Linked DNA regions of Macaca fascicularis. The protein of the gene in region 1 purifies or fractionates together with the protein of each later gene. This does not show direct contact. Links are inferred from orthologs where the notes say so. Each region holds a gene or a part of one and is shown in the gene's direction. Other genes may lie near its edges.

Region 1 (3,932 bases):
CTAATAACTGTTTGGTAAAAACTACACTGACAATGACTGTCTTGTCAGTGTTCAACACTTATGTGAAACACTGAGCTTTTACAAGGCCAAGCCCCGTTTTAGGTTAAATTCTCGCAACCACGCTGAGGATGGTTCCGTTTTTAAAGCCGCGTTCCTGCCGTGGAAACAGTGGCCCTGAGGGTTAAGACACTGCCCAACACCGGCTGCGCCTGATAGACGCAGGTTCCGAATGCAGGCCCTCTCCAAAGTCTTGCCCACTGCTCCACAGTGCCTCAACAACCAACATTTCATCCTCAACCTCAAATCCATCTCTTCAGGGCCGCAAAAAAGCGTTACTTCCCAAAGGGCGTGTTCTCCAAGAACTGCATTTAGCATTTCAGATCAGAGTGAGCCGAACTCACTAGGATTACGACAAAAACCAGTGAGATTCAGATAACACCGTTACGTCGAAAGTTTTAATCCGTGACAGCGGAAATATTGCTTACGCCCTTAGGTAATTTCAAATGCACGTAAGAAGGCCGTGCCAGTCTCTGCTGGCGATGCAAAAGAAAGATGGGGCCGGCGGGGTCGTGGGGGGTGGGGGGACATGACATCATATCCCAGACACAACCTGACCTCGTTTAAAATAAATTCTGTATCCGACTCCCTTCGGTGCGTTTCACCGCCCCTAGTCTTGTCTGGCTACCCCCGAAGTCCTTTAAAAGGGGTTGAAATGGGTGTTGCAGAAGAGAGAATACTCAGGTAGAAACGGCCTGCGGCAGAGGCGCCCCCAAATCATGGAACCTGTTGGAAGAGTGAGGAAGGAACTCTGGGATCCTGAACATTCTCACGGGTGTAAAAAGACAAAGTAAAATCCCCATTAACCAAGTTGGGGAGAAGTCACATCCGTTACACAGCCTCTCCCAGACCGCACATTTACAACACCGGCCTGCCTCCAGTCCTTGGCTGCCTCACCTTGCTCCTCAGAGCGGGTTTCCCAAGACCCGCGCGCAGCCGGCCAGGCGCAAACTCAAGCCGCTGCTGGTTGCCAGGAGATACTGGTCCAACCATCTCCTCCAATCAGCGCGCATCTCTTTTCGTCCAATCACAGAGGCAGGAAGGGCCGTGGTGGGAGGTGAAAGGTCACACTCCTGTTTGGCGGCCATTTTTCTTGAAATTCAGCGGCTCGGGACCTGGGGTACCTGCTGTAGTCACGAGGGACAAGCGGCAGCCTGGTCGGCAGTGAGTAGCCTGCAATATTCGGCCGTGGTTACGATGGTAAGGAGAACGAGAACGGCGGGAGAAGCGGGGAGAAAGAGAAGGAGGGAGACCACCTCGCGGGGCCTAGTGGTTGCTTCGCGCGTTTCCCATTCATCCGCGTGAGGCGCCGCGCACCCGGTCGCCAGCTTCTTTCACTCTGCTTTTAGGATTTCTGAGGCGCGTGCTCCTCCCGATGCCTTTCTTTTTCTAGGAGTACCCGTGCCTTCTCCTCTTTGTTTGAATCCGGGCTTGGGATATTCTTGTTTGTGGCTACAGGGTCGGGGTAAAACTCAAAGAGAATTTGCACTTCCCACTTAACCACACTCCAAAATTCACTTTCATTGCATGAAAGTAATGATACGGCCATGCTCTAGTTTAACTCAGTTGGTTGGGGAAGACAGACAGTCAAAAAATAACAAATATGCAATTGCAAGTAATAAGTGCTAAGAAGAATGCAGACAGGAGGCTGTGAGGGTGCGCGTTAGACATTTAGAGGCTTAGTCAGAGATGGCCTCCCTAGGAGGTGGAATTTAACCTGAAGCCTAAGTGTCATGAAATAGACCCTTTAAAGAGCAGGAGGAGGAGTGTACCGAGCACAGGGAATAGGCGCATAAGACCTGCGGCCGGAAAGAAAGCTTGGTCAGTTGGAGAAATTGACAAAAAGGTACAGCCACTTGCAGGAAGAGTGGTTACGAGATGGTGTCGGAGGAGCAGGCGTTGGACAGGACCTCTTAGGCTGTATTGGGAGGTTTTGATTGTACTCCAAATCAATTGAAAATGATTGAGTTGGAAGCCATTGAATCATTTTAAGCAGAAATATGACAATTTGATGTGCACTTTAAAAAATCATGTTGCTGTGGTGGATAATAAATTGGAGAATGAAAACTGGAGACCCATTAGGTTATTGGAGTAATCGCCGTATCAAGTCACTCCGAATATGTTTATGTTAGAGGGGGTTAGTAGCCAAGTTTCTTAGTTCTGTTCTTTCTTTGACTGGTGAGTGAGCAGAAAAAGGCAAAAACCGAATTCACTGGAGATGTTAATGGTTTGCTGAACAAACTTTAAGTGATTTCTATAAGAGGCAGTGCTAGTGACAAAGTCATTTAGGACCTAGCCCTAGCTTCCACAGTTAAAGACTGTCAAGCGTCATCTGCCCTCTGCTTCCTTCTGTAGTCTTATATTTGGGACTTTGACTGACAATGCTGAATTGTATGTCCCCAAAATCACCTTGTTGCTTCACTCTTCCCTCCTTTTACATAAGTAGCTAGCCTTGCCTGGAACAGGATTTTTTCCCGCTCTGGAAATAAATTCTCATTCTTTAAAACTGAGGTTAACTTATTTCAGGCAACCTTTCCTTTTTTCCCTGGATTGCTTCGGTACCCTTGTGCCTAGTATATCTCCTCTTATTATGTTGCAATATGCAGTATAATTATTTGTATGTGAGGAGCCCCCCTCCCCATCTCCAACTTCTTGACAGGGACTCTGTTATTTATTTATGACAAGGTCTTGCTCTGTTCCCTAGTAGCCGGGACTACAGGTGTGCACCACCACATCTGACTATTTTTGGTAGAGAAGGTGGTCTCACTATGTTGCCTGGGCTGGTCTTGAAATTCTGGCCTCAAGTGATCCCCCTGCCTTGGCCTTCCAGAATGCTGGAATTACAGATATGAGCCACCCTTTCTGGCCCGCATTTTTTTTTTTTAAAGTGCCTTTATCTTTGTTTCTTTAGAGCTCAGAACAGTAAGTGATGTATGTAGTCGGTGTTATCTTAAGTGAATAGTGAGTATTTTGTTTTGATGGGTTAAAGGTGATACTGACTAACTGGATATTTAAATTTCCCTGGTACTCTCCAATAAATAAAAGTGAAAATTGTGTACTAAAATAATGAGTCAAGAGTTTTCTTCATTTGCATACCACAAAATATTGGTATTTAGTAGAAGAGAGTTGGTGGTGGGAGGAAAAATAATTAATTGGATCCTTTTTTGTTCTTTGTGCAGAGTTTACCCCTCAATCCCAAACCTTTCCTCAATGGACTAACAGGAAAGCCAGTGATGGTGAAACTTAAGTGGGGAATGGAGTACAAGGGCTATCTGGTATCTGTAGATGGCTACATGAACATGCAGGTAAGCTAAAGAGCTGTAAAGGTCATAACATTGCATTTAGTTTGCTTCACCTTATTGCTCAAAGGTTTAGTCTGACTAATAAGAATACATACAATTAAATTGACAAATGTACGGCAAAATTAAAAAATAAAGTCAAAGCCAGGGAGGATACTATGATATACTAGGTACAAGACATGGACTTAAACCAGAATTCAGCCACAGATTTTATTCCTAGTAGTTAAAGTAAGAAGAGCTCAGACATTTAATTCATAATAATACTGTAAGGGAAACACACTACTTTGCTGGAGAAAACAAAACATTTCTCATCATTTAGCCCTGAAAGAAAGTTTTCAAGTGAAATTCATGAGTCTTTTAATGAATGATGCTAAAGGCACAACACCAAAGTTATTGAGGAAATTCATTCCTTCAGGGGAAAGACACATCTGCCGAAGAAATTGAACTGACTGTATGTCTGTCAAATGAGTTTCTGTAAATGATTCAGCCATGTGTTTTGGTGGGGGTTTTTTTGTAATTAATTTTCTTTTTATTGTGGTAAAATATACATTACAATTTTGCCACTCTAACCATTTT
Region 2 (3,257 bases), on another chromosome or scaffold:
AGAATCACCTTGAATGCAGGAGGCAGAGGTTGCAGTGAGCCAAGATTGCACCACTGCACTACAACCTGGGTGACAGAGGGAGACTCCTCCTCAAAAAAAAAAAAAAAAAGAAAGAAAAAATGAATTGACATGGATACCTGGCAGTCGTAACAAAAAAAATTTTCAAAATGGTGTGTACAATATGATTTTATTTTGGAAAAAATATATTAAAAATTATACAATAAGGTCCTTTTAGTTTTGCTCTGTGTATTTTCTTTCTTTCTTTTTTTTTTTTGTTTTTTTGAGACACAGTCTAACTCTGTCACCCAAGCTGGAGTACAGTGCTGTGATCTCTACTCACTGCAACCTCCACCTTCTGGGTTCAAGTGATTCTCGTGCCTCAGTCTCCCAAGTAGCTCGGAATACAGGCACACACCACCATGCCTGGCTAATTTTCTGTATTTTTAGTAGAGATGGGGTTTCTCCATGTAGGCCAGGCTGGTCTTGGACTCTTGGCCTAAAGTGATCCACCCACCTTGGCCTCCCAAAGTGCTGGGATTACAGGAATGAGCTACCATGCCCGGCCACTTACCTGTGTTTTCTATTTTTTTTTTTTTTTTTTTTTGAGACGGAGTCTCGCTCTGTCGCCCAGGCTGGAGTGCAGTGGCCGGATCTCGGCTCACTGCAAGCTCCGCCTCCCGGGTTCACGCCATTCTCCTGCCTCAGCCTCCCGAGTAGCTGGGACTACAGGCGCCCACAACCGTGCCCGGCTAATTTTTTGTATTTTTAGTAGAGACGGGGTTTCACCGTGGTCTCGATCTCCTGACCTTGTGATCCGCCCGCCTCGGCCTCCCAAAGTGCTGGGATTATAGGCGTGAGCCACCGCGCCCAGCACCTATATTTTCTAACATCTAATGTACAGATTCTGTTTTAGGAATAGAAAAAGATAATTATTATTACTTAGAAATAGGGTCTCACTATGTTGCCCAGGCTGGTCTTGAACTCCTAGGCTCAAGGAATCCTCCTGCCTCATTCTCCCAAATTGCTGGGATTACAGGTATAAGCCCGCATGCCCAGCCTATTATTATTTTCAAAAAATAGACTTGGCGGGGCGCAGTGGTTCACGCCTGTGTGATCCCAGCACTTTGGAAGGCCAAGGCAGGTGGATCACCTGAGGTCAGGAATTTGAGACCAGCCTGGCTAACATGGTGAAACGCCGTCTCTACTAAAAATAGAAAAATCAGCCGGGTATGGTGGCGGGCGCCTGTAATCCCAGCTACTCCGGAGGCTGAGGCAGGAGAGACAGCTTGAACCCGGGAGGCGGAGCTTGCAGTGAACCAAGATCGTGCCACTGCACTCCAGCCTGGATGACAGATTGAGACTCCATCTCAAAAAAAAAAAAAAGACTTTATTTTTTAGAGCAGTGTTAGATTCACAGCAAAAGTGAGCAGAAAGTAGAGTTCCTATATGCCTGCTGCCCCCGCAACAGGAGTTTTTAAATGTTTTATCATTCTTTTTGTCGTTCTCTACACACACACTTTCTTTATTTGTATTTTCTGAATCATCTGAGAGGTTGCATGTATCACATTCCTTTACCCCTCAATATTTCAATGTGTGTTATGCAAGAACAAAGGTATTCTAGTGTATAACCACAGTACCATTGTCAAGTTGAGAAAATGTTACATTGATACAAATGTAAACCTTTAGGCTTTACATTCCATACTCTAATTTGGTCAGCTGTCCTGACAATGGACTGTTATGGTTTCTGTTTAGTCTTCTTTAGTTTGTAATAGTTCCTCTGTTTTTGTCTTTCGCGATAATGACATTTTTTGCAGAGGTAGACCTTTTATTTTATAGAATTAAAAGGTTATCTTTAAAAAAAAAGGTTGGTGTGAAGATTAAATGAGTTAATATGTATAAAGCCCTTAGCATAGAGCTGAATAAGCTGGAAGTGATATTATCTTGGGGATAGAGATGTTCTCTGCTTAGGGGACAGCAGAAGCATTTCACTCAGCTCATTTCTGTCCACAGCCAGTCCCAAAGGCTCCAGAATCTCCATCGCTGGACTCGGCCCTGGCTTCGCCACTGGACCCTCAAGCCCTGGCCTGCACCCCAGCCTCCCCTCCAGATTCACAATCTCCAGCTTCTCCCCAGGATTCTGAAGCCCTGGACTTTGAAACCCCTTCCTCCTCCCTGGCACCCCAAACTCCAGACTCTGCCTTGGCCTCTGAGACCCTTGCTTCTCCCCAGTCTCTGCCTCCAGCCTCACCACTGCTGGAGGATAGGGGAGAGGGGGGCCTGGGGAAGGCCCTGGAACTAGCAGAGGCCCCAAAGCGGGAGAAAGCAGAAGGGGCAGCAATGCTGGAGCTGGTGGGATCCATTCTCCGGGGCTGTGTCCCCGGGGTGTATCGAGTCCAAACTGTGCCCTCCGCCCGGCGCCCTGTGGTCAAGTTCTGTCATCGGCCTTCAGGTCTCCACGGTGACATCTCCCTCAGTAACCGGTATCTTTCTTTTTTTCTTTTTTTTGAGACAACATTTTGCTCTTGTTGCCCAGGCTGGAGTGCAATGGCACCATCTTGGCTCACTGCAACCTCCGCCTCCCGGGTTCAAGTGATTCTCCTGCCTCAGCCTCCCAAGTAGCTGGAATTACAGGCATGCGCCACCATGCCCGGCTAATTTTGTATTTTTAGTAGAGACGGGGTTCCTCCACGTTGGTTAGGCTGGTCTCGAACTCCCAACCTCAGGTGATCCGCCTGCCTCGGCCTCCCAGAGTGCTGGCATTACAGGCGTGAGGCACCATACTTTTCTTTGGGGCAGGCCGGCTGAGAATTCTGGGGTGCGCCAGGAGGGAGTCTGGCTTGGGAAACTCCTGCACCTGCCAAGTCTCAAGTTTGTCCTTGTTTGGGACTATCCCTCCTTCTGTCCCTTGTCTCCTCCTGCCTGGCTTCCCTTTCAGTGTTTGTAAAGTGTGTTCCTTAGAATATTACTTTCAAGGGATGTAGAAAAGAGTTCTGCGGTTGAATAAATTTGGGAAAGTCAAAATTAGATGCAAAAAGTTTTCTCCATTTCCTCCCTTCTCCCCTTGCCTTGCCTTCTCTTTCTCCTTTCCTTCCTTCTTCTCTCCCTTCCTGTCTTTGTTTCTTTGCATAGTAAAGGCTCTTGGCAGTCTTTTTTTTTTTTTTTTTTTTTTTGAGATGGGATGTTGCTCTGTCACCCAGGCTGGAGTGCAGTGGTGTGACCATGGCTCAAAAGCAGTGTTAAGAATAATAGGCCGGGCG
Region 3 (3,997 bases), on another chromosome or scaffold:
CTGGGGACATAGAGGAGGCCTTGAGCGCCTGGGGAGGGGACAGTTGCAGCGCTGCTGGTGCCCCGGGCTGCGGGAGGCGCCGCTGGCTTCCCTAGCCCCACTCACTGATAGAGAAGGCGCCGGGCTCTTCCCGGATGACTCTGCACCGCTCCAGCAGCAGGGCTCCGACGGGCTGGAGGAGACACGGGCGCCGGGACGGAGCAGTGAGCACCCGGCCTCCGCGGGGCCCCAGCCTGGGACCCGCCCGCGCGCCCTCGACGCCCCTACCTCGGCCTCGTCTGTCCGGAAGTAGAAGAGGAAATTCACCACCAGCTTCACCAGCCGCCGCTTCAGCACTGCGGGCACAGCGCGCGCTCAGGGGCGCAGGCAGCCCCCGCCCGGACCCCGGCCTCCCGCACCCGGCGCCCCGACCCGGAATCCGGCCTCCGGCACCCGCGCCCGGACTGCGGCCCCAGCCTTCCGCCCCTGGCACTGTCCCGGTCTCCCGGGTCCCGCTCACCGCTGCCCTTCTTGGGGCCCCTCATGCCCAGCTCGGCCGCCATCTCGGCCGGCTGCCGGGACAGCGCCTGCAGCTCCTTCTCGTTGTACCGCATGGCTTCGCGGGGAACGGGAACCTGGACCGCGCCCTCCCGGCCGCCGTCCCCGTTCACGCCGGGGCCGGCGCCAAAAAGGTCTCAGGGCGCAGACACGGAAGCACCGCCGGGGCTAGTGCGCCTGCGCACTTTGGGCCGGCCATGCCGCCAGTCTCCAGTGCGTGGCGCTGGCGACCTGGGGCGGGGGGCGGGGGGGCGGTGCACGAGTTGGTAGCGGAGACGGACAGTCGTTACATAACCATTAAATTGAAATAAACCAGACAAAGGTGGAACAGCATCAAGGCACCCCCGCGATGGCTGGCACCCCTTCCTAGAGCGGCCAGGCGCAGGCGGAGGGAGCGATAACGTCTCCCGAAGAATGTCAGCCGCCCCTCGCGAAAGTTAGCCCAGCGCGGCCGCAGCGAACCAAGGGTTCGTTGGGGGCGTTGTGCGCACGCGCGGTTTGCCTTCCAGGCCGGGCGTTCAGCCCCGCCCCCTCCAGCCCTTTCCCTCGCGCCTCCTGACCCTCTGACTTGCGCCGCTGGGCGGGCCGGGCATGCGCACACCAGAGGGCCCGCCCCATTTGCCCCGGAAGTGCTTTCTTTGACCGCGACGCGCGTGCGCCGAACGAAGTCGTGGCGGTGGCGGATCGAGGAGATAACGCGCCCTCAGGCTCTGGTGAGGAGTGGAGCCGGTTGAGGGTGGCGGCCGACTCGGACCGGGGGTTCCCTGGGGAAGAGCGGACGTAGGAGAGAGGAGCTTGCGACAGGCCGCAGGCCGAGGGGCGGGCGGCGGCGTCGCTCCCCTCCCTCCTCCCGTGAGCGTCCGGCCTTGTGCATCCTGTAGGTCCCGCGTTGGGCGGGCCCGGAGGGTCGGGCCCCCTCGGAACTCTATTTCCAAACTCCTGTTGGGAGGCCGCGCGCGGGGGCTCACGCCTGTAATCTCACCGCTCAGGGAGGGCTTGGCGGGAGGATCGCTTGAGGCCAGGAGTTCGAGACCAGGCTGGACAACACAGCGAGACCCCATCTCTACAAAAAAATTTTAAAAATTAGCCAGGAGTGGTGGTTGTACCTGTAGCCCCAGCTACTCGAGAGGATCGCTTGATCCCGGAATGTCGAGGCTGCAGTGAGCCATGATCGCAATTGCACTCCAGCCTGGGCAACAGAGCAAGACCCTGTTTCACAAAATGAAAAAGAAACAACTAAGACTCGTTGGGATCAGATCGGGATCGCGGCTGAAATGGTTTGGGCCTCCTTCCTTGTAGCCGAGAACGCTTCTGCATGCTAATCTATACCTGTGAGTTCACTGGGGCTCTGTGATGTAACTCCTGTAAGCGTCATTCCCCTTAAAACGGGAGTGACAGCTTCAACACCATGCCAAAGGGGACCAGAAAACGTTAGCTGGCCCCATTTTGCAGGTGCACATGGCTGTGACCGTTGTTCGTGTGTATCCTTGGAGAACACCAAACAGCCAGGGGGAGCTTTGGAAAAGAGGTTGTTTGCTGGGTTTAACGAGAGAACGGTGTTGCCACCAAAAACTAATTCCTTCCCGCTGGTCCAGCCCCAGGTCTCGGAGGCCACCTTTCCTCAATTCTTAAGTTCATTTCCCCTGGTCGTCGTCGGTTTTTTGTCTCTCTGTTTGTTTTGAGACAGTGTCTTGCTCTGTCACCCAGGATGGAGTGAGTGCAGTGGTGCCATCACAGCTTACTGCAGCCTCGAACTCCCATGCTCAAGCCGTCCTCCTGCCTCAACCTCCCAAGTCGCTGGGACCACAGGTGCTCACCACCATGCCCGGCTAATTTTTGTATTTTTTGTAGAGACGGAGTTTGGCCATGTTGCCCAGGCTGGTCTCGAACTCTTGACCTCAGGTGATCCTTCCCCCCCCCACCCCCCCACAGCCTCCCAAAGTGGTAGGATTACAGGCATTAGCCACTACACCCGGCTCTTTTTTCTATTTTTTTGTAGAGATGGGGTTTTTCCACTCTGTTCCCTGATCTTTACTTTAGTAAATAACATACTTCTTCCTGGATTTATCAATTTGTAGACATCATCTGCTGATTTCCTGTCACGGCTGTTGAGATTTTCTCCCTCCTATCCACCCACTGCACCTTCGCCTTCCATATCCTGAATGAGTTTCTGTCGTGAGCACAGTTGGTCATTGGTTGTATTTTTTAAATAAGATGCAAAATGTTGTTGGCTGCTCAGGGCCGGGCGCAGTGGCTCACGCCTATAATCCCAGCACTTTGGGAGGCCAAGGCAGGTGGATCACGAGGTCAGGAGATTGAGACCACCCTGGCTAACATGGTGAAACCCCGTCTCTACTAAAAATACAAAAATTCAGCCAGGTGTGGTGGCGGGCACCTGTAGTCCCAGCTACTCGGGAGGCTGAGGCAGGAGAATGGCGTGAACCCAGGAGGCGGAGCTTGCAGTGAGCTGAGATCACGCCACTGCACTCCAGCTTGGGAGACACAGCGAGATTCCATCTCAAAAAAATATATGTATATGGCCGGGCGCGGTGGCTCACGCCTGTAATCCCAGCACTTTGGGAGGCCGAGGCGGGCGGATCACAAGGTCAGGAGATCGAGACCACGGTGAAACCCCGTCTCTACTAAAAATACAAAAAATTAGCCGGGCGCGGTTTTGGGCGCCTGTAGTCCCAGCTACTCGGGAGGCTGAGGCAGGAGAATGGCGTGAACCCGGGAGGCGGAGCTTGCAGTGAGCCGAGATCGCACCACTGCACTCCAGCCTGGGCGACAGAGCGAGACTCCGTCTCAAAAAAAAAAAATATATATATATATATGTATATATGTATATATGTATATATATGTATATATGTGTATATATGTATATATATGTATATATATGTGTATATATGTATATATATACACACACACACACACATACACACATGTATATGTATATATATTTAGTTGGCTGCTAAAACAAGTAATGTGTTCAACTGGGCTTTTGTTGTAGCATTCTATTTTCCCTTAAAGCTAATTAACTTTGTTTTTACCATTAGCCTTTCTTTTCCCTACTGTTTGTTTATTTCCCCACAAAGCTCCAGCATCTCACACCTATCAGTTGTGTTTTGCACAGGTTTAAATGAATTGATCTCCCCCTCCCCACTGCCCTCCAAGACTCCCGTATCCTCCTCCTCCAAATGGGACTGATTGTGCTCTGCCTGGGTGGAGCTGGTGTCCCAAACCTTCCTGTCCTTGCTGCCCTGTGCTGACCTCTGTTCCCAGTGTGGCCATCTTTTCCTCTTCCTGCTGTCAGAGCAGAACTTCTGGGAGCTTTGGAAGAAATAGATGATTTTTTTCGGGGATGGGGGAAGTCTTTGATTGCCTGAAAATGAGTTTATTTACCCTCATAGTTAGAAGTTTGGTGGGGTATAAAAATCTAGATTGAAAATCCATATTTGGC
Region 4 (2,901 bases), on another chromosome or scaffold:
TTTGAGTACTTGAATAATGAGAGGAAATCACTGTTTATCATGCAATTTATGCTGATTAACTTTTTCTAGTTACATTAACAGTTTCACAAAGAGAAAGTTAACTTTTTCTTTAACTTGTGTTTTTGGTTTATTTCAAAAACTTTCCAGAATTGGAGTTGGTGATTCATGTTTTTTGCCTCTAGAGGGAGTAATGACACTAGGGAATAATGAAACCAAGAAAGACTGAGATTTCAAGTGTATTATTTTATTATTATTATTTCAAGTGTATTTTTTTGCTATCAAATTTAGATCAGATTACAATGGGAAATCAACTTTTTTTAAATGAAGAAAATGTATCCATATGTAGGAACTTTTTAATGACAGGAGACAGTACTAAAAATTTAGAGAAATCACAGTTGCAAAGAAATTGACTTTTTTTTGTTAAGGAACTTTTAGAATGTTACAACAACCTGAATTTACAGATGGTTTGAGTTCCCAAGTGTGTCACAGTCTGCTGTTTGAAACTCAGGCTGTATTTTTCTCATAGAAATGTCTGTGAAGGATAGTTAATTTCCCATCCAGGGAGATTGTACTCTTAGATAATGTTTATATCATCCTAAATAGCATGGACTCAATACAAATACAACTTATCTCAAATATTTCCATGTAAGAGATGATGCTAATTGTTTTCTGTATCTAGTGAAATGTTTTTCTAGGTCCCTTATTACCTCAATCTTCTATTCCTTTTTTCTCTTCGGAGATGATTCCAAGACATGCATTTCTTGCTAAGAACTCTAAGAACTGAGTAATTTAGAAAAATATCTTTTTGTGAGAGGCTCTTTGGAGGTAAGGTATATACCTTACTGTTTGAAATTGCTGTTGAAACCCAATAACTAATATTTATTTATTTATTTATTTATTTATTTATTTAATGGAGATAGGGTTTCTCTCTGTCACGCGGACTGGAATGCAGTAGCATGATCATAGCTCACTGCAACCTCAAATTCCTGGGCTCAAGTGATCCTCCTGCCTCAGCTTTCTAAAATGCTAGGATCTCAAATCCAATTCAGAAAGCCCAGAGTAAACATATTTTATCTGCTTGATGCCTGTATCTTGCCATGCTTTCCTTTCTTTCCTTGGACAGCCAGAGAATTCCAACTAATTCTAGCTTTGGATTTACCATGCTTCACAAACATGAAAGGTTTCTCTTTTAAGTGATAAACCTATTGAATATATTAATAGATAAAATAGATAAAAATCTCTGAACAGACAAGGACTTAGTCCTTCCCAAAGGAAGATGCAGGCAGCAATTATCAAACACCACCTTTGTGTGAAATCCTTGTGGGTGGAATCTCTGACATAAGGAATCTTGTCTCTTAGCCCAAGGCAAGAACGAAGAGAGGAAGTCTGCTGGTCAATACAGAGAGCAGGGCAACATTAAGCAACATCCCTAAGAATTATGTTTAAAAAATGAACTGTATTATGTTAATTCCTGGCCTTTGTCTAGCAGACACACTCTACCCTTCCATGGCTTCCCCAGGCACATGTCATGGTAACATTTGGGCCAGGCAAACCCTACCTACTTTATTTCCTCATAAAGTGGAGAAGTTTACAAATTAACTAATAATTAAATAAACCCTAAGTATAAAATTGATGTTAGATTTAATAATGGGATTCATCTCTCTTTTTTTTTTTTGTTTTTGTTTTTGTTTTTGTTTTTGAGACAGAGTCTTGCTCTGTCACCCAGGCTGGAGTGCAATGGCATGATCTCGGCTCACTGCAACCTCTGCCTGCCTCCCGGGTTCAAGCGATTCTCCTGCCTCAACCTCCCAAGTAGTTGGGACTACAGGCGCACACCACCACGCCCAGCTAATTTTTGTATTTTTAGTAGAGACGGGTTTCACCATGTTGGCCAGGATGGCTCGATCTCTTGACCTCTTGATCCGCCCACCTCGGCCTCCCAAAGTGCTGGGATTACAGGCATGAGCCACCGCGCCTGGCCCTCATCTCTCCTTAGTTGGCAGAGTACTTAAAACTCCAATTGTCTTTTTATATTTTGTTCTATAATGTCTAGGAAGGGAAACGTTCCTCATTGTAACAGTCACTTCTAATAGTTTATTTTGGTAGATAGGTAGGTAGATGGATAGATAGGTCGATAGGAATGAGGTATTTATAGGTCATACTTCTAAAACTTATATAAGAATAGAATTGTAAGTATTTGAATAATGAACTGTTTGTAAATATGAAAAACTATTAGGTAATATTGTTATGTGGAAAATGTTTTAAATATAACTAAATTCAGTTTATTAGCATTTTTGGTGGTTTTGGCTAAATACAATAAAAATGTATCACAGATTTATTTGCAAATATTCTAAGTAATTATAGTATCTGTGTATTTAATAAATGGAAGATTGGGCCCTAACTGGTTTCTAAATATTCGATTTTTTTAATTTGTGTGAAATTTTTCTGAATTAAGTTAATATAGTGGAAATCTAATCTAATGGTAGCTCTCGTATAAGTAGAGAACATTAGTCCAGGTTTAGGAACCAGAAGCATGAGAGAGTAAAAAGAAGGCTAAGAACTGGATTGGGCTTCTGGTACATGTTGGAATAGTAGACTCCAAGCTAGTTACTTGAAAATAGCCTTTACAGCTCATAGCACTCCACAGTGCGTTCATTCCTACCACACTAACAATACCCTGCATTCATACACTATACATCTACAGCATAGGAGCTGGCATACATGCTTAGGTAGGGTGTACAGTGTCCTCTTAGCCATTTCATTGACTCATCATGAGATTCTGGAGCAGTATGTTTCTGAAGCACCTGATCTCATTGGTGGCTAAACTATGGAGGTATGGAGATTTGCCTGGTCATTCTGCCGCACAGCGACAGTCTTATTACACCTTGCTGTCTCCCACTG
Region 5 (2,537 bases), on another chromosome or scaffold:
AGAGACAGGGTTTCGCCATGTTGGCCAGGCTGGTCTAGAACTCCTGACCTCAGGTGATTCACCTGCCTCGGCCTCCCAAAGTGCTGGGATTATAGGCATGAGCCACCATGCCCAGCCTGAAAAGTAATTTTAAAAAAGAGAAAAAAGTTTAAAATAAGATATTACCGTTTATTATTCATACATTAGAATCACATACCTCCTCTTTAATAGCATAATAAAGCCAAGACTTCACAGAGCCCTGCTGCTCATATTCCTTTTAAAAGTTAATTAGAAGGCTAGGCGTGGTGGCTCACGCCTGTAATCCCAGTACTTTGGGAGGCTGAGGCGGGCAGATCACAATGTCAAGAGATCAAGATCATCCTGGCCAACATGGCGAAACCCCATCTCTACTAAAAATTCAAAAATTAGCTGGGCATGGTGGCACACACCTGTAATTCCAGCTACTCAGGAGGCTGAGGCAGGAGAATTGCTTGAACCTGGGAGGCAGAGGTTGCAGTGAGCCAAGATCACACCACTGCACTCCAGCCTGGGCGACAGAGTGAGACTGTCTCAAAAAAAAAGTTAATTAGAAAATATGGCTTAATTGTTGAGCAATAGTGAAGCTTGAGTCATTAAAGCAAAAGTTCTCAAGTGGAAACATTAGTTATTCTAAAGGATATATTAGACACACGAAATGTTAGGATGACTTCACATCTATTCAGTGCACTGAATTAGTAATTTCGTTTCCAATGGGCAGGTGAATATTTCCTGTAAAACTAAGACCATATCTTGAAGGATTTTTTCCCCTTTCTTATAAGACTGTATCTTAAAGGACTTTTTTCCCTTCCCTTATAGAGACCTTGTACACAGACAGACGGCTAGTGCAGTGGTACAGCACATGTCACTTGGGGTTTATGGATTTGGTTGTGAAGATTCGCTGAATCACTTGTTGAACTATGTATGGCCCAATGTGTTTGAGACATCTCCTCATGTAATTCAGGCAGTTATGGGAGCCCTAGAGGGTCTGAGAGTTGCTATTGGACCATGTAGAATGTTGCAGTATTGTTTACAGGTAAGTTAAAGTTGTTTTTTTTTTTAATCGGTGAATTTTTTTTTTTTTAATAATACTTTAAGTTCTGGGATACATGTGCTGAATGTGCAGGTTTGTTACATAGGTATACATGTGGCATGGTGGTTTGCTGCACGTATCAACCCATCATCTAGGTTTTAAGCCCCGCGTGCATTAGGTGTTTGTCCTAATGCTCTCCTTCCCCTTTCCCCCCACTCCCTGTAAGTTAAAGGTTTTTAAAAGATTACTTAGCAAGAAAAGTAGTGTGTTGAATTAAGTTACTTTTCCTGATTATCAACAGGGTATATTGTGCCATATGGTAGAACAATTGTGTGGTGACGGGGGAGTGCGTTTTGTCTCTTCCGTTTTAGCTTTGTATAATTACTAGGCCCCCCCCACTCCCCAAGGGAAATAATTTTGAATCATATCTTTATGATTTGTTAATTTTGTTAAGGTTATGTGTGTTCTTGAAAATTGAAATAAGGTAACTGTTCAATATTATTTTAGGGTCTGTTTCATCCAGCCCGGAAAGTCAGAGATGTATATTGGAAAATTTACAACTCTATCTACATTGGTTCCCAGGATGCTCTCATAGCACATTACCCAAGAATCTACAACGATGATAAGAACACCTATATCCGTTATGAACTTGACTATATCTTATAATTTTATTGTTTATTTTGTGTTTAATGCACAGCTACTTCACACCTTAAACTTGCTTTGATTTGGTGATGTAAACTTTTAAACATTGCAGATCAGTGTAGAACTGGTCATAGAGGAAGAGCTAGAAATCCAGTAGCATGATTTTTAAATAACCTGTCTTTGTTTTTGATGTTAAGCAGTAAATGCCAGTAGTGACCAAGAACACAGTGATTACATACACTATACTGGAGGGATTTCATTTTTAATTCATCTTTATGAAGATTTAGAACTCATTCCTTGTGTTTAAAGGGAATGTTTAATTGAGAAATAAACATTTGTGTACAAAATGCTAATTTGTGTGTGTTTTTTGAACATGACTTGTAAAATGCGGAACTTTGATAAAGTATTGGTTTATGTGGAATAAGTGGCTTAATTTCATTTTCTGTCACCTGGTTAATAGAAAGTAGTTAGCCAAATAAAAATTATATGAAGTGATGGCATCTTTGTCAAAATTCCATTGTTCTGTTAATAATGACAGCAAGAACAGTAGCCTCAGGAGGTGTTCCCCTCAAACTAGCACAACCATTCCATCATCATAGAAAAGTAGCACTTTTGCTAAACTGTCTTGAATATTTTGTACTTACATAGCGCCTTTCATCTCTTGATTTCTCAAAATGCTTTATGAACATGTTTAAAGGAAGTGGTTTAAGTCTTGTCCAACGCTTGAAAGTCTGCTGTGTTTAACAAGTGAGAAATTTAACTTTACTTCAAAACTGCTTTCTGCCTATTAGGAGTGAGGATACCTAAGTAATGCTGATAGAACAGATTCCTTATGTACTGTGATAAT
Region 6 (4,110 bases), on another chromosome or scaffold:
TCCTCAAGTGATCCACCCGCCTTGGCCTCCCAAAGTGCTGGGATTACAGGTGTGAGCCACTGCACTTGGCCTTTTTATTGAAACATAAAATTAGTCAATTGAATTTTGCAGTAATTTAGTTATTAAACAGGCTATTGAATCTATCCACAAAACTTAAGATACTTAACAACAGGGCTTCAAATAACTTAAGTGCCAGCTCTCTGATCTCATGGCTAACAACCTGAGATTTCTGCCATCTGGTCCTCGCTCAGGACCTTTGCACTTAAACTGTTAAACACCACCCCCCGCTCCCCCCCGCCTCCAGATCTCGCTTCTATCTGGTTTTTGTTCAAATGTTGCCTCTTCAGAAGAGGCTTCCATTATCAAAATAGACTCGCTCTCATTTCCCATCCCTTTATTCTGCTCCATCGTTCTTCATTATGCTGGCCACTATCTCAAAATATCTTTTATTTTTTATATTTATTTATTTTTGAGACGGAGTCGCTCTGTCGCCCAGGCTGGAGTGCAATGGCACGACCTCGGCTCACTGCAAACTCAGCCTCCCAAGTTCAAGCGATTCTCCTGCCACAGCCTCCCGAGTAACTGGGATTACAGGCGCGCACCGCCACGCCCGGATAATTTTTGTATTTTTAGTAGAGACGGGCTTTCACCATGTTGGTCAGGTTGGTCTCGCACTCCTGACCTCAGGTGATCCGACCGCCTCAGCTTCCCAAAGTTCTGGGATTACATGCGTGATCCACCGCGCCCGGCCTCAAATTATCTTTACTCAGTTAAATGCTTTTATTGTCTCTCCCAGTACAGTGTAAGCCCTAGCAGGAGAAGACTTTGCTTTAATCACGTGCTGTAGCCCCAAAGCCCAGACAGTGCCTAGCACACACGAGATGCTCGATGAACAGTTATCGATTGACTAGATTAAACATCAACGCAATCAGGCCATTCACTTAGGGACTCTTTGCTAGTCGGCGGAGAGGTACATTATAGTTCACTACGCAGAACGCATGCGCGCAAGATCCGGGAAGTGTGATTGGAAAGGGGCGGAGCATCAGGGAGAGCCTCGCGGACATAGGCGGTTTGGAGCGGAAAGCGAGAGGTGGAGGGGCGGCTTGGGGCTAAGCGCGCGCGCGCAGTGCAGACGCCAGCTCCCGGCGGTTGAAATACTCAAGGTGCCCGAAGGCGGGGTGGTGACCTCGCGCGTGCGCTGTTGCCGCGGCGGCGCCGGGTCCTAGCGTGTGGGTTGAGCTTGGCCTCGCGCGGCGCGTGCGCAGTGCAGACGGCGGAGGGATTTGCGGCCGGGACCCACCCCCTGCTCCAGTCGCTAGCCGAGGCCGCGCGGGTTCCTGAGCAGCGGCCTGGTGCGCTCGCTGCGCGGGCGACGGAATCAGACGGACGCGGACGCCCCCAGAGTGGAAGCCCAAGCAGGAGCTGTTGTTGCTGAGGGGCCGCCGCAGCCGCCGCGAGCCTCCGGACAGACACCAGAGCTAGGAGGGCGCTGCGCGGCGAGTGAGTGTGACTGAGTGGCCCGACGGGGAGCGGGGCCGCTACCCAGAAGCCCCAGCGGTGGGCCCGGGCCTCTTCCCCGCGGCCAGGCCCCCTTCCCGCGTCCTCGCCACAGGTCACTTTTGCATCCCTTTCCCGGACCCCGAGTTCTCTGGGCACCCACGCCCGGTCCCCACATCGCCCTCGCGGTTCCCTACCCACAGGCCCTTGCGGTGTGTAGCCTTTTTTCTTTTTCGTTTTTCTATGTTGTCCTGGACCCTTACCCATAATTCCTTTCGCCTTTGCGGGGCCCAGATCTGTTACCCACAATCGCTTGGTTTTGGGGCTTCGCTCCTTATGTTTCTCTTTCTTTGCTCGGAGACTTCCGACCCCCAGGCCCTTGCAAACTGCGTCTAGTAATTTGCTGTCCACGGTACGGGACGAGCAGCCACAACTGCCCTGGGCCTCCCTCCTCGGGTCTTTGATTCCCCCAGAAATTCCCAGGCAACCTCTCCGCCCCACAGCTCGTGTCTCAGGACTCTGAGACTTCACTACTCAGGAACCCTTTTTCAGCCTTTATTTTTGTGTCTTTTACCGGCCTTTCACCTCCACCTCCAACAAGACTTTTACCCTTTTCTCCGTAACACAGGACCGTTCTCTGCCGTTACAAAGCCTGTTTTAATTCCGAGACTTTTCTCCTTTCTTTCTTACTTTGAGAGTCAAGGAGTAATAGGGGCTTTCTCTGCAGACCCGATCTAACCTAAGGCTGTCCTGCTTCTGCTCTCAGACTTGGCAAGATGACCCAGTTCCTGCCGCCCAACCTTCTGGCCCTCTTTGCCCCCCGTGACCCTATCCCATACCTGCCACCCCTGGAGAAACTGCCACATGAAAAACACCACAATCAACCTTACTGTGGCATTGCGCCGTACATTCGAGAGTTTGAGGTGAGTTCACTGAGCAGGCCAGGAATGGTTTGGGTTCTGGGGAGCAAGGGGTTGGATTTGCGAGTCCAGCCTCTGACTATTTTGCTAGCTGTGTGATTTAAGCGAGGGGCTTAATCTTTGTGATCCTCAGTTTCGCTGTTTTAAATGGGGTTGCAGCCGGGTGCCGGGTGTGGTCGAGTGCAGCAGTAGTTCTAGCTACTCAGGAGGCTGAGATGGGAGGATTGCTTGAGCCCAGGAGTTGGGGACTGAAGTGCTCTGTGATTGTGCCGCTATACTCCGGCCTGGGTGACAGAGCAGGACTTTGTCTCTCAAAAAAAAAAAAATTTTTTTTAAAGTGGGGTTGTGGCCCAGTGCGGTGGCTCACGCGTGTAATCCCAGTACTTTGGGAGGCTGAGGCAGGTGGATCACCTGAGGTGAAGAGTTCAAGACCAGCCTGACCAACATGGTGAAACCCCGTCTCTACTAAAAATAACAAAAATTAGCCGGGCATGATGATGCCTGTAATTCCAGCTCCTTGGGAGGCTGAGGCACGAGAATCACTTGAACCCAGGAGGTGGAGGTTGCAATGAGCTGAGATCGTGCCACTGCACTCCAGCCTGGGCAACAGAAGAAGACTGTCTCAAAAAAAAAGTAGGGTTTGATAGTACCCCTTTTGTAGAATTTTTGTGAAAATTCAGTGAGTAGTGGTTGAAGATTGGCACTTAACCCGCACCATTTATCAGCTCTGACTTTGGGCAAATGTTGTATCCTCTTCATGCATTGGTTTCTTTATCTTTAGCAAGGGGATAGTGGTAGCACCCTCATAATGCTGGAGAATTAAATGGCAAAGTGTATATCAGGGGCTTGGCACCAACCAGTCAGCACGTGTCAGCCTTTGTTACTTTGTTTACTGTTTTTATTGTTAATAAGATGATGTTCATAAAGACTTAGCACCCAGTATTGAGTATTGGAGGACTTAAAACTGCAGATGGGGATCTTAGCTCTGCACCTTCGGGGTAAATAGGAATGAATGACTTAGGCTCCTGGACCTCTGTGTTTTTATTTGTGAAATGGGATGACAAAGGTCTTCTCCTAGGTGCATCAGAGCACACCTGAGAAAAACTGGCACATAGCCAGAAGTTACAAGAACATTCTGGCATTGCGTAGGGAAGGGCAGCTGGAGGCGAGGGAGTTGCACAGCAGAAGTTCATAGATAACAGAAAGGTGTATCTTCAGTGGGATTTGCCACCCTTGGTGAACCCGCATTTGAGAAGTGTTACTGGCCAGTTAAATTAACTTAATGGGCACAGGCGGTGGTAGGTGCCCTTTGATGATGCAGGTCATGTGCCAGTTTCTATTTATTTATTTATTTATTTGAGAGGGAGTCTTGCTCTGTCGCCCAGGCTAGAGTGCAGTGGTGCGATCTCAGCTCACTGCAAGCTCCGCCTCCTGGGTTCACGCCATTCTCCTGCCTCAGCCTCCGGAGTAGCTGGGACTACAGGTGCCTGCCACCACGCCCGGCTAATTTTTTGTATTTTTAGTAGAAACGGGGTTTCACCGTGTTAGCCAGGATGGTCTGGATCTCCTGACTTCGTGATCCGCCCACCTTGGCCTCCCAAAGTGCTGGGATTACAGGCGTGAGCCACCGTGCCTGGTCTCAGTTACTAGTTATTTATTTTTTTTTTAATTTTTTTTTTTTTTTTTTTTTTTT
Region 7 (3,500 bases), on another chromosome or scaffold:
CCACAATTTTAGAATATTTTCTTCACCCCAAAAAGAACCTGGTACCCATTAGCAGACATTCCTATTTCCTTCTAGCCCTAGGCAACCACTGTATTGCATTAACATTTTTTTTTTTAGCTTCTTCAGGATTTTTTACTTTTTTTCTGCTAAGTGGTACAGATGGATGAAATATTATCAGAAAATTAGCTAGCCTCTACTGAAAGCTCAACATACTGATTTTGGTGATGTGCTTCCTTTGGTACACCAATAAAATATTTGCATTTGACCACATTTGAGGGAAAACTAGGCCTAGCTTTTCTGTGGCTTTCTCTTAAAGATGTTGAATAAATGAGAGGCTTCAGGGAGTCTGTCTCTCAAGGTAATAAATATTCCCTGAGTTGCGGTGAGTGTGATGACACCCATTTATGTCTTTTAGTGTAGGATTCATGGAGAAACGAATGATTACCAAGGATTTATTGCATACTTACCTCCTGAGCTCTTTGTTAATGGTTTTGAAGAATGTTAAATAAAGGAATGTGACGAGTCCTGCTGTCAAATAGCTCATATTCCATAAGGGCACATATAAGACTCACTACCACAGAGTTAAGTACTAAAATTTGCAAATCAGAAAAAGAAGAGGTCTTTATGGACTGGTGTAGTTGAAGGGAGGCCTCATGGAAGAGGGGAGGATTTGCAAAAGCAAAGAGGGTATTTGAAGACATATCAAAAAAGAAGAAGCTTGAAAGTCATAGAAACATACATGTGACTGAGGAAAATGGAATTTCAAGTCTGTTTGAATTTATAGCTAGAGGGAAAGAGACTTTAACAGAATTGATCTTAAAGAAAATTCGATTTCCACTACTGAATTTTCTTTTTTTTTTTTTTTTTTTTTGAGACGGAGTCTCGCTCTGTCACCCAGGCTGGAGTGCAGTGGCCGGATCTCAGCTCCCTGCAAGCTCTGCCTCCCGGGTTCACGCCATTCTCCTGCCTCAGCCTCCCGAGTAGCTGGGACTACAGGCGCCGGCCACCTCGCCCGGCTAGTTTTTTGTATTTTTTAGTAGAGACGGGGTTTCACCGTGTTAGCCAGGATGGTCTCGATCTCCTAACCTCGTGATCCGCCCGTCTCGGCCTCCCAAAGTGCTGGGATTACAGGCTTGAGCCACCGCGCCTGGCCTGAATTTTCTTATTTTATGAACATTTCTAAAAAAGTAAGCTTGAATTTATTTATATGCATAAAGGTGTCCAAGCTGAACTTTTATGTACTTTGTGATATTACATTAGGATTTACTTTCTAAAACTAATCTACTTAAAACATGTTTTTCAGCCGCCTGTCTTGGTTAGATGGTTCTGGATTAGGATTCTCACTGGAATACCCCACTATTAGTTTACATGCATTATCCAGGGACCGAAGTGACTGTCTAGGAGAGCATTTGTATGTTATGGTGAATGCCAAATTTGAAGGTATGTATGGTGTAATTTAATCTAATGCCTCCTTTGATAGCAAATTATATTTTAAAAAAGAGTGTTTGATAATAATCAATGTAACATTGAGGCCATTGACTCATTTTGGATAGTAGTTTATTAAGCAAAATTTCAGCACAGCAACTTGGACAGTTGAAGTTTTCATAATGGACGTTTGTGTGTGTCTGTATATATTTCTATATATTTACACTTAGAATTCTTCATTTATTATGGATATGTATTTCTAACTTTCCTCTAAAGTTTCACTGTTTATTCTGCCTTTCTCTTTTTAAAAGGCACCCTTAGGGACTTGGATCAGTATACCCTGTGCTTCTGAGAATTTAAGATAGAACTGTTCTGTTTTGTTACAATAGTGGTTATCAGTGGGTGTAGGGGGAATATATTTTTCATAGACCTCCACCAGCCTCACCATTCCCCCACATTTGGCAGTGACATTTTGGTTGAAAGAGGAAGGATATTATTGGCATCTAGCAGTTAGATGCCAAGGGTGCTATTATTGTACTAAATATTCTGCTATGCGCAGATGGTCCCCCACAACAAAGAATTATTCCATCCAAATGTCAGTGGTGCCAAGGTTGAGAAACTGTAGGATATAAAGATTTTCAAGTTTTGCTTTGGGATAATTGCAAAGACTTGTAAAAATCTAGTGAAGATGTTCATGTTTAAAATAATGGGTTGCTTTTCTTTGAAGCAGTGTGTAAGAGACAATCCCATTTATTTACCTATAAGACTATTGCTCTTTCAAATTGGGATTTTAATATGGTTCCAGATATAATAATATGATCATTTATATTCAGTTGTGACACTATTTAGTAATTCTTAGGACTTTTGGCAAGCCCTGCCTCATTAAGTGGTAATGACTGATTCAGCTATCTGAAAATATTTTTGTTATAAGATTTCCAATTCTTGCCGTTGGAAAAGGTTCAAAGACATTTAAAAATCTAGTGAAGTCTGAAAAAGAGGATTAGGAAAAGTAAAAGGCTGTTAACCCTGGGGTGTAGTAGTGTAGTAAGACTTCCTAATAAGGCATTAGATACAAAATTTGCTTTTCATCTAAGTAAATGCAACTATGATTTTATAACTAAGAATATCATGTGTCATGTTTAGTTTAAAGCATTCATTGATTTCCAGAAATGCAAAACCTTAGAGGTACTCTTGCCAGTCAGCTCCAAATGCTGGTGTGAAATGGCCCTAAATAGTGACGGGCATTGGAGGTGGGAAAGGTACATATCAAGAGAAAGGCTTAGGAAATAGTGTTTAATAATAAAGGGCAAAAGCACATTGAATAAGAAAACTCTGTCATTAGGCCGGGCACAGTGGCTCACACCTGTAATCCCAGCACTTTGGGAGGCCGAGGCAGGCGGATCACCTGAAGTCAGGAGTTGGAGACCTGCTTGGCCAACATGGTGAAACCCTGTCTCTACTAAAAATACAAAAATTAGCTGGGCCTGGTGGTGGGCGCCAGTAATCCCAGCTTCTCGGAAGGCTGAGACATGAGAATCGCTTAAACCCAGGACGTGGAGGTTGCAGTGAGCTGAGATTGCACCACTGCACTCCGGTCTGGGCAACAGAGCGAGACTCTGTTGAAAAAAAAAAAAAAAGTAAAAACTCTGTCATTAACTTGCTAGGCAAGTCATTTGCATCTCTCTGAGCCTGAATTTCATCCAGAAAGGTTAAGGGAGTATATTGGTCTCTGGTTCTCAAACTCAAGACTAACGGATACATATTAGAAATACGTGGGAAGCTTGTTTAAAATGCAAATGCTGTAAGTCCTAAACTAGGAAAAAGCAGTTCAGTAGGTTTTAGGGTGTGTGTTTTAAATATGTGCTCTATAATCTTACAGAGTCTATATGATTATTTGATTGTAATTGATGTGATTATGATTAATCCTTTCTTAGTAAAATATGCAGGATTTCCTATCTTACTAGAAATTAGTATCTTCCTGGGTCACATTTATTTCACTAATTCTCCAGTTTTTTTTATTTTTTTGAGATGGAGTCTTGCTCTGTTGCCAGGCTGGAGTGCAGTGACGCGATCTC

What was found.
Region 2: the proteins of SNRPF (region 1) and TUT1 purify together in Homo sapiens (co-immunoprecipitation; 3 studies listed by BioGRID and IntAct, counting the BioPlex papers as one, with this or other methods). This does not show direct contact. The link is inferred for Macaca fascicularis from reciprocal best matches to the Homo sapiens genes SNRPF and TUT1.
Region 3: the proteins of SNRPF (region 1) and SF3A2 purify together in Homo sapiens (affinity purification with mass spectrometry; 4 studies listed by BioGRID and IntAct, counting the BioPlex papers as one, with this or other methods). This does not show direct contact. The link is inferred for Macaca fascicularis from reciprocal best matches to the Homo sapiens genes SNRPF and SF3A2.
Region 4: the proteins of SNRPF (region 1) and TGS1 purify together in Homo sapiens (co-immunoprecipitation; 3 studies listed by BioGRID and IntAct, counting the BioPlex papers as one, with this or other methods). This does not show direct contact. The link is inferred for Macaca fascicularis from reciprocal best matches to the Homo sapiens genes SNRPF and TGS1.
Region 5: the proteins of SNRPF (region 1) and SF3B1 purify together in Homo sapiens (co-immunoprecipitation; 3 studies listed by BioGRID and IntAct, counting the BioPlex papers as one, with this or other methods). This does not show direct contact. The link is inferred for Macaca fascicularis from reciprocal best matches to the Homo sapiens genes SNRPF and SF3B1.
Region 6: the proteins of SNRPF (region 1) and SNRNP70 purify together in Homo sapiens (affinity purification with mass spectrometry; 5 studies listed by BioGRID and IntAct, counting the BioPlex papers as one, with this or other methods). This does not show direct contact. The link is inferred for Macaca fascicularis from reciprocal best matches to the Homo sapiens genes SNRPF and SNRNP70.
Region 7: the proteins of SNRPF (region 1) and CLNS1A purify together in Homo sapiens (affinity purification with mass spectrometry; 3 studies listed by BioGRID and IntAct, counting the BioPlex papers as one, with this or other methods). This does not show direct contact. The link is inferred for Macaca fascicularis from reciprocal best matches to the Homo sapiens genes SNRPF and CLNS1A.

The regions. Positions count from the first base shown.
Region 1 is NC_088385.1:102,892,111-102,896,042, forward strand, and holds the start of SNRPF (small nuclear ribonucleoprotein F), read left to right. Parts: upstream 1-1,132; 5' UTR 1,133-1,254; coding exon 1,255-1,257; intron 1,258-3,236; coding exon 3,237-3,362; intron 3,363-3,771; coding exon of another isoform or gene 3,772-3,834; exon of another isoform or gene 3,835-3,932. UniProt on the Homo sapiens protein: Plays a role in pre-mRNA splicing as a core component of the spliceosomal U1, U2, U4 and U5 small nuclear ribonucleoproteins (snRNPs), the building blocks of the spliceosome.
Region 2 is NC_088388.1:11,478,944-11,482,200, forward strand, and holds part of TUT1 (speckle targeted PIP5K1A-regulated poly(A) polymerase), read left to right. Parts: intron 1-2,010; coding exon 2,011-2,480; intron 2,481-3,257. UniProt on the Homo sapiens protein: Poly(A) polymerase that creates the 3'-poly(A) tail of specific pre-mRNAs. Localizes to nuclear speckles together with PIP5K1A and mediates polyadenylation of a select set of mRNAs, such as HMOX1.
Region 3 is NC_088393.1:2,893,132-2,897,128, forward strand, and holds the start of SF3A2 (splicing factor 3A subunit 2), read left to right. Parts: upstream 1-1,197; 5' UTR 1,198-1,868; intron 1,869-3,997. Other genes in the region: PLEKHJ1 (pleckstrin homology domain-containing family J member 1), read right to left, coding at 106-172, 268-335, 500-593. UniProt on the Homo sapiens protein: Component of the 17S U2 SnRNP complex of the spliceosome, a large ribonucleoprotein complex that removes introns from transcribed pre-mRNAs.
Region 4 is NC_088382.1:65,784,996-65,787,896, forward strand, and holds the end of TGS1 (trimethylguanosine synthase), read left to right. Parts: intron 1-1,706; coding exon 1,707-1,913; 3' UTR 1,914-2,401; downstream 2,402-2,901. UniProt on the Homo sapiens protein: Catalyzes the 2 serial methylation steps for the conversion of the 7-monomethylguanosine (m(7)G) caps of snRNAs and snoRNAs to a 2,2,7-trimethylguanosine (m(2,2,7)G) cap structure.
Region 5 is NC_088386.1:93,002,273-93,004,809, reverse strand, and holds the end of SF3B1 (splicing factor 3B subunit 1), read left to right. Parts: intron 1-834; coding exon 835-1,051; intron 1,052-1,555; coding exon 1,556-1,714; 3' UTR 1,715-2,037; downstream 2,038-2,537. UniProt on the Homo sapiens protein: Component of the 17S U2 SnRNP complex of the spliceosome, a large ribonucleoprotein complex that removes introns from transcribed pre-mRNAs.
Region 6 is NC_088393.1:57,061,431-57,065,540, forward strand, and holds the start of SNRNP70 (U1 small nuclear ribonucleoprotein 70 kDa), read left to right. Parts: upstream 1-1,310; 5' UTR 1,311-1,504; exon of another isoform or gene 1,505-1,709; intron 1,710-2,263; 5' UTR 2,264-2,273; coding exon 2,274-2,420; intron 2,421-4,110. UniProt on the Homo sapiens protein: Component of the spliceosomal U1 snRNP, which is essential for recognition of the pre-mRNA 5' splice-site and the subsequent assembly of the spliceosome. SNRNP70 binds to the loop I region of U1-snRNA.
Region 7 is NC_088388.1:76,526,136-76,529,635, reverse strand, and holds part of CLNS1A (methylosome subunit pICln), read left to right. Parts: intron 1-1,303; coding exon 1,304-1,440; intron 1,441-3,500. UniProt on the Homo sapiens protein: Involved in both the assembly of spliceosomal snRNPs and the methylation of Sm proteins.